Oryzias latipes: one gene and its partner. The protein of the gene in region 2 binds, or shares a complex with, the protein of the main gene of each other region. Links are inferred from orthologs where the notes say so. Each region holds a gene or a part of one and is shown on either strand. Other genes may lie near its edges.

What was found. The genes of interacting proteins can lie anywhere in the genome.
Region 1: the proteins of e2f1 (region 2) and rb1 are in contact, whole or in part, in a crystal structure (PDB 2AZE), measured with the Homo sapiens proteins. The link is inferred for Oryzias latipes from reciprocal best matches to the Homo sapiens genes E2F1 and RB1. Residues at the interface, in NP_005216.1 of Homo sapiens: Ala267, Pro268, Pro269, Glu270, Thr271, Gln272, Leu273, Gln274, Ala275, Val276, Asp277, Ser279, Glu280, Asn281, Phe282; in NP_000312.2 of Homo sapiens: Ser829, Arg830, Ile831, Leu832, Val833, Ser834, Ile835, Phe845, Ile848, Met851, Val852, Asn854, Ser855, Arg857, Val858, Leu859.

What each region holds. Positions count from the first base shown.
Region 1 is NC_019872.2:15,926,888-15,930,387, reverse strand, and holds part of rb1 (retinoblastoma-associated protein), read left to right. Parts: intron 1-635; coding exon 636-745; intron 746-824; coding exon 825-902; intron 903-1,363; coding exon 1,364-1,451; intron 1,452-1,532; coding exon 1,533-1,649; intron 1,650-2,068; coding exon 2,069-2,125; intron 2,126-2,274; coding exon 2,275-2,306; intron 2,307-2,433; coding exon 2,434-2,510; intron 2,511-2,659; coding exon 2,660-2,880; intron 2,881-3,500. UniProt on the Homo sapiens protein: Tumor suppressor that is a key regulator of the G1/S transition of the cell cycle. The hypophosphorylated form binds transcription regulators of the E2F family, preventing transcription of E2F-responsive genes.
Region 2 is NC_019865.2:2,000,237-2,004,312, reverse strand, and holds the start of e2f1 (transcription factor E2F1), read left to right. Parts: upstream 1-1,276; 5' UTR 1,277-2,185; intron 2,186-2,275; 5' UTR 2,276-2,481; coding exon 2,482-2,733; intron 2,734-2,821; coding exon 2,822-2,921; intron 2,922-4,040; coding exon 4,041-4,076. Other genes in the region: znf341 (zinc finger protein 341), read right to left, coding at 167-277, 735-765. UniProt on the Homo sapiens protein: Transcription activator that binds DNA cooperatively with DP proteins through the E2 recognition site, 5'-TTTC[CG]CGC-3' found in the promoter region of a number of genes whose products are involved in cell cycle regulation or in DNA replication.

The DNA.
Region 1 (3,500 bases), on a different chromosome or scaffold from region 2:
TAATGGCTGATTTTGCTTATTTAATTTTTAATACATTTTAATTTATTGTTACTTTTAAACATTTCAAGTCATTTCAGTGAGCATTGTGGACTTTATTTAACTGAGGGGAACCAACAATATTGTCCACCACTGTAAGACGTCTTCGATTTCACGAAGTTAAAATCGAATTAATATGAGCGTTTTGTGACGAATATGTACTAGTCCACTGTCTTCTGAAGATAAATACGTTGATGGTTTATTAGAAAATACATTTAAATACATATTTTTGTAAAAATTGTTACGATGCAATGTATTGTGGTCTATAATCGCCGATCTAGTGAGCAGCGAAGCACACTGGTTTTTCGCAGAGACTTCTGTGAAATTTCTAGGGCACTTAGTTTTGGAATTTTAGATTCGGACAGCACTTCAAAATGGCAAAACACTATATGGTGAGTAGGGAAGGAATTAGGTCACAACATCCGAACATTCCCTTTGTCCGCACATTTTCTAATTTGGACGTTTTCTACACCAAAATCTATGCATTTTTATAAACTAAGCCCCAGGTCCAATTAAAGTCAAAGTTATTTCTGTGTTTATATTTGTTAAATGGCACAATACTGTGCTGTAAACCCCATATACTGTAATCTTCTCCTCAGGTGACTGATGTCAGCGAGCAGTATCAAGAGCACTACCTGAAGAGTGGAGACATTGATGGTCGACTGTTTTTCGATGGAGATGAAACCGTCCTTGCACCAAAAGTTGACATGTAATTTCTTTTTTCCCTCTCATCTTGGTTTCTGAGCTTTGTTGAAGAGTCTTGTTTGAGAGTCTGGTTCTGCCTTCAGTTCCCAGGTAGAGAGAACTCCCAAGAAGACCTCACCGGATGATGACGGGCCATTAATCCCTCCACAGACACCAATTAGGTTGACCAAACACATACACACACACACACACACACACACACCATCAAGTGGTAATTTATATATATCTATAAATGTTTTTCTTTTTCTTTACTAAAACTGACAATTTGTCTACTTAAGGGGAAGGGAAATGTCCAAAACCTAAATATTAATACAAAAATGTGTGAATAATTTTATATTATGAAAATATTTATAACATTTTTACATTTTTTAAATTTGGCCTGTAAAATTATTGACATACCAGATGCCATAAACTGGCTGTTTGAAAAGAAGGTATTCAAATTTACAAAACAAATACACATGTGAAAATAGGTGGAAACTTAACATTCGTTTTTATATCTGTAAGGGAAAATGTTTACATTGACATTACGAGACCTTTGTGGGTAATTATGGTACTTAACCTGGTATTAAATGTTTTTTTTAAGTCTCTGCATTTGTCCTTATTTTGAAACTTTCCTTCGCAGAGCTGCAATGAATTCTATCAAGATGCTGAGGGGTGACCTTCCCTCCAGTGGAGACCAGCCATCCTCTAATCTTGCGATATATTTTAAAGTGGGTCTGTTCAAAACACTGAAATGATGCTTTCTGTCAAATTGCAGATTTATACTTGCTTTTTTTGCTACTAATCTTTAGAACTGCACTGTGGACCCAACCCAGGGTATACAGAAGCGTTTGGAGATGCTTGGACAGGTGTTTAGCCAGAAGTTTGGTGAGGCCGTTGGACCGCATTGCATTGTGTATGGCAGAGAGGTATGAAATACCGCTATTATGTTCACTTTTATTAGATTTTCAGTTGCTAGATTTATTTCTCCAAATTTAAAAAAAATTAAGCAAGACTTAAAATGACAAAACATTGGATCAGAAAACAATCAAATCTATTTGTATGAATGAAAAGATTCTTCAGAATGGATCCAATTTATCAAGTTTGAGCACCAAAACTAGCTTCTTTCTATTTTCTTTTAACCACATCTTCCACTTTGCAGAAGATTTGACCTTTCAGAACATTTTGAGAGAGACAAAACACAAACCAGGGATCAGTTTAATGTGAAACCTACACCAGTGTTACTTACCTGTTGCTGCTCTTAACCTAATATTTCTCAATGTTGGCAAAACCCTTTAAAACGTATCATAATTTTAAATAATATTACCTATTTTCTTTTACTTTTCAGAGATTTACTCTTGGAGTTAGGCTGTATTACAAGGTCATGGAGGCAATGCTAGAATCGGTAAAGTTTTTTATTGTTGTTTTGTTTCAACAGATGTATTTAACTAAATGTATCTTTTTTGTCAAATAAACTTTAGAGTGCATACAGTGCTTGCCTTTAGAAAACCGTAGCAGACATATTTGAACAGTTTTATTGCTTTTATTTCAAAGGAGGAGAAGCGACTGTCTGTGCAAAATTTCAGGTAAATTTTGCATCTTTGTCGTGTTTGTGTGTAGTCAGGGACTCTTTACGCATTTAATTTTTTATTTTCTTTTGACACTGATCCTGCAGTTTTCTTTGCCTCACAAATCACTTGCTATAATTTTCAGCAAACTTCTCAATGACTCCACGTTTCACATGTCCCTTTTGGCTTGTGCTTTGGAAGTCGTCATGGCAACATACGAAGGTACATTCACCCATTAGCTTATGAAAAATAAATAAAGTTAAAGCTAGTTTATTAAAAAAAAGGTTATTTAATTTAATTTTTCTATAGGATTTCTGTTGGCATGGCTTTTCTGTTAAACATTTGCAAAAATGTTTGTGCTTCATGAATAGAGAGCAGTTTCAAAAACAGAGGATGCAGTCATGGAGAAGGCGACCAAGCAGTGAGAGACCTGTGTTTCCCGTGGATACTCGATGTGTTCGATCTCTCCGCCTTTGACTTCTACAAAGTCATCGAAAGCTTCATCAAGGCTGAACCAACTCTGAGCAAAGATATTATCAAACATCTGGAGACGTGTGAGAACCTCATCATGGAGAAGATCGCATGGAGGACGGTCAGTTACACTACTCACCTTTCTTTAAACCAGTGCATCCTGCAAGCATGCAGAGTATTAAAGACATCATTGACTCAAATATGAAATAAATTATTTTAATTACAGAAAAGGAAACACGTTTTAGCAAATAGGTACAGGCTGTAACACAGTGGCAGGTTTTCATCAGGGTTCAGAACAGAAAGGAGATGCTTTACATAAGGCTGTGCCACTTCCCTGCTTTTGCACGACTCACTACTTTGGTCAACACACAAAAACACTTCAGATAATTGTAGAAAAAAAACACTTTACTTTGCTAAAACCACAAACTCTAAATCAGCATTTTGAGCTAAAGCAAAAAAAATAAAAAGGTATTTGACACAAAAAAAATTCAGACTGAAGACACAGCATGAAAGACTTGTTGCGTTGTTTTTAGAGCCTCTGTGCATTCAGTTATTTAGAGATAGATTAAAATGTTTTTCTTTAGCAGCTTTGGTTACACTTTTTGCAGTCATGCTTGTGCTAATTTTGTTTCTGAATATTACCACAGTGAATTTTAAACAAAACAACTCAGATGCCATTGAAGTGCAGACTTTCAGCTTTTATTCCATGGGTTGAACAAAAAGATTGCACAAAAATTTGAA
Region 2 (4,076 bases):
CAAGTGGATGCATCAGAATGGGGCGGAGCAGGGAGCCTGTGGCCCCGCCCGGCGGATTTTCTACGTCACAAATGCGATCTTTTACGAATACTCGGAAATGCAACTTTGAGCTTAGTTGTCTTAATCTGTAGCAGTCCTGTGGAGCTCGGTGCAGAATGCTCCTTACCCATAGACTGGATGGTGGATCCTGCAGACACATTCTGGTTGTTGGGGTCATTGACTCCCCCCTGGCCATCCAGCAGGGACTGGACTGCTAGAACGGTCTGGTTGTCCATGCCTGAGGGGATGGAGGGAAACAGGGATTTAACATCAGTAACAGCTTTTCTTTTTACAACATGTTAGAAGAAGATCTGCTTCTCCATGAAAGTGACAGAAACAATAACGCGAGGAGTGCATGTTCACATATTAATGAATAGCTTTTATTGTCACATGTACAGCTTTTACACTGACATACGAGATGAGTTATTATATTACAGAAATAATTAATATTACATTTACAAAAAAAGCCGTTTATAGCAGTACAGTCTTAATCTTTAAAATATAATCAGGTTGTTTACAATCATCATCATCAGATCAGGCAGAACCCTTCAGTTCAGGGTGCTTACAGCCTACATAATACCCGTTTAAAGGGTGATTTAGTGTTCAAACAAGTCTCCAGTTAATTTACATGATGTGGTTTTCTTTGGCATATAACATATTTAATAATTGCGCGGTAAATAAGACTATATTTGTACCTTCCAGCGCCTCGAATATTGTCTGCGCCATCTTACAGCGCTCCTGTTTACCATCGGTGATCGATTGGTAGGGTCTGTTACTTTAGGTGCAGACCCCCCAATGAAATGCTTACATTAATATTTGCAAATAGAAAAAAACTTATCACATTTGGTTCAGACCCCCAGAAAACTCTAGTTTAGAAAGTTCCTAAGCAATCAGATTTAACTTTATTTTTTGTTAATCTGATTGCTTAAACGGAGAGGGAGCGCTAGGGACTACATTGAAAAAACGTAACTTTTTTAAGCTGGGACGCAAAGACTGTTACATCATATATTTAATATGGTAAAGGAGTTTATCTTTTAGTTTTGGGAAACCTTACATGAAACTGACACTACGTGTTTTACTATTTTGTTTAAAATTTCCTAAACAAAGCAGTTAAGAAGCCTTTTGTCCGTGGAACGTGAATGCACCTCCCAATCAGCAAATCTGTGCTCTGGAGAGTCACAGACGGCCATCTCCGCCAATCAGAGAACACCAACCTGGTCACATGGAAGGCCAGTTTTCCCCATGCTCTGTAACGTGACAGACGGCCATTTCCACCAATCGGAAGACACCAATCGCGTCACGCGCAAAACGAATCCCACTGGCCAATCCCAGCGGTCGCTTTTCCCCACGTGCCAGTTTCGCGGCAAAAAGGATTTCGCGCGAAAACCGTCCAGCCTTGTTTAGATATAGATCAGCTGGGACAACAACAATGACGGCTGCTAATGGGGTCGGCGCGGCTCGTTTACAGATGGACCCGATCTTCGGCGAGCAGACGAAGGAGCATCGGCACATTTTTTAACGTTTGAGCGAGTATTTCCTCCGTTTTGTCTGCATCTCCCGCGTTTCTCCGAGTGCTTCCTGCGTGCCCCAACAGTACGAGGGGGACCGAAGAACTGCAGCTAATCCCTGAAGCTAGCATGCTAAAGTTCCCCGTATTTCCGCGCTAAACTCTCTGTCGTCGCCGTCGCCCGGACGGATGGTTGCTTTCTTTTGGGAACTATTTTCTCAAAGATGGTGTGGATCTGCGATCATGATGCCTCCGCCGAGTGAATGTGTATTTTTTTTATTGCTTAGATAGCCCAGTTCTGTGAGCGTCTATAAAGTTTTCCGAACCCGTTAATGAAGCCATATCGTAGGGAAAAGGAGATAAACTTTTAGGTAGTGGTGGTAAATGTAGTCCTCTGCTGTTGTTCGTGTTTATTAGCAAAGTTGTTGTAGTCTTTTCTTGTGGTAAGCTAGTTCGTTAGCTTGGTAGCTCTGTGTTTGAGGACGGAGTGGCGAGGCCTCTGACAGGAAAACGAAAGACTAGCAGGCTAGCTCGCTCATGATCTCAATTTACGGCGGGTTTCTTCTTCTACTTCGTCTTTTGACCTTCTTTTATTTCCGCTGAAAACGGCGCGCGAGCCGAGCAGCGCGTGAGCCTAAAGTAGGATGCGCTCAGCGGGTCGTTTCCTGTTTGGGCTCCACGTCTCGCCTTGACGTTTGAACCTTCGACTCCTCTGTGGTTGATCTGCAGATTTCAGGCTCGCTGTAGGTCAACCTTCAGCAGGAGGAGGAGGAGGAGGAGGAGAGGTTAATGGATCAGCATTTTCTCCTCAAGTCCTCCTAACATGTTTGGGGTCACCTGGTGCTGAGCCTGTTTTGATACCCCAGTTGGTGCCCCCACCCTCCCTGGCATTCCCCCAGTCTGCTGCAGGAGCCCTTTGGGCGGCAGGCAGTGCCATGTCAGAGACTCTGATAACGGGTCAGACATCCGAGGATCTGCTGAAGGACTTTGAGACTCTGCTGAACTCCGGGAGCATCGATCTGAGCCAGGACCACCAGATCGTCATCATCACCAGCCCCAGCAATGAGGGACTCCACCCGCTGGCCGCCCCCAGCAGCACGGGGGAAATCCTGCTATTCGCCACGCCGCAGAGCCACGCCGACGCGGGGGGCCAGGACAGGAGGAGGCCGGCTCTGGGAAGACCTCCGGTGAGGGCGTGGCTTCAAGGCGGCCGCCGCCGCCACATCATCACACGCCGGGGTTCACATAATCGATTCCTCTTCATTTGATGATTAGGTGAAGAGGAAGCTGGACCTGGATAGCGACCACCAGTATGTCAGCACCACCCGATCCTCCGCCAGCCAAGCACCTCCTTCTACTCCTGCTCCTCCCAGAGGTACGCCGCACGCTCAGGAGCAGGAGCGCCGACTCGGCATCCTTTCACGGCGCTGAAGCTGGCGTCCGGTTAGCGGGGGCACTAAAGGAACATTCCACTGCATTTTTCACCCTAAGACCACCTTAGACCAGGTCCTTTTCAGAAACCACAGGACCTGGGCTGCTCAAACCTGGATTAAAATTAGGATTTAGATAGTAAAGAATTCATTAAACACAGCTTCTGATTTATGAACATTGAAATGGGATGATTTTATGTAGTTGATCAATTTAAAATGATCTATTTTTAGTCTGCCGTCGTTTGGTGAGCTGCATTGCAGGCAGACGACACGAATTCACAAGAGGGGAGGCAACAGAATCCCAAACAACAGAGCGCTGCGAGCAGGAAAGCCACAAAAACTTTAAAATGATTAAATAAAAATGAGTCCAGGTCCAGCGGTTTTTCAAAAGGACCGGGTCTTAGGAGGACCCGGTGCGTAAAATACTATAAAATCCTCCTATTTCACATTTTCATGAGTCAGAAACTGTGTTTAATGAATTCTTTACTATCTAAATCCTAATTTAATGCAGGATAGAGCAGTCCAGGTCCTGTGTTTTTGAACAGGACCACCAATCATTTTACATCTTTTGGATTGCGTAACGCTCAGACTGACTCATGACATCATGGCGTCCACATGCTGCGTGAAGCGTTTCCGTCCGCAGACGTTTGGGGCCGTTGGGATGAGAAGTTGAAGGAGAATTTCTGCTGAAGGCTGAGCCTCAGTTCCTTTTGTTTTTTTATCACTGAAATCCACATTTGACCGTTCAGTTCTAAGATGTTTCCTTCAGCAGAATCTTCATCGGTGGATTTCTATTTTTAAACCACCAAAAGACCCGCCGTGGCTCCGAAATCCAGGTCCCGTGGCCACGTCAGAGAGGGCGGGGCTTGGAGTTTCTTTAAAGGCTGGTTATAAATATTACCTTAAAGAAAATAAAAGTTTCGATGGCGTGGTCCAAACGAGGCCTGCCTGTGCCGCTGGAACGTCTTCACAGCTGGAGTCGGAGGATCACCTGTTTTCCACCTGGATGTGTGTTTTGTTTGTGGAGGAGGTTTAAGGCGGCGTGTTTTTCACTGCTTTTCCAGTTCCTCGAAGCACGGCGGAGAAGTCGAGGTACGACA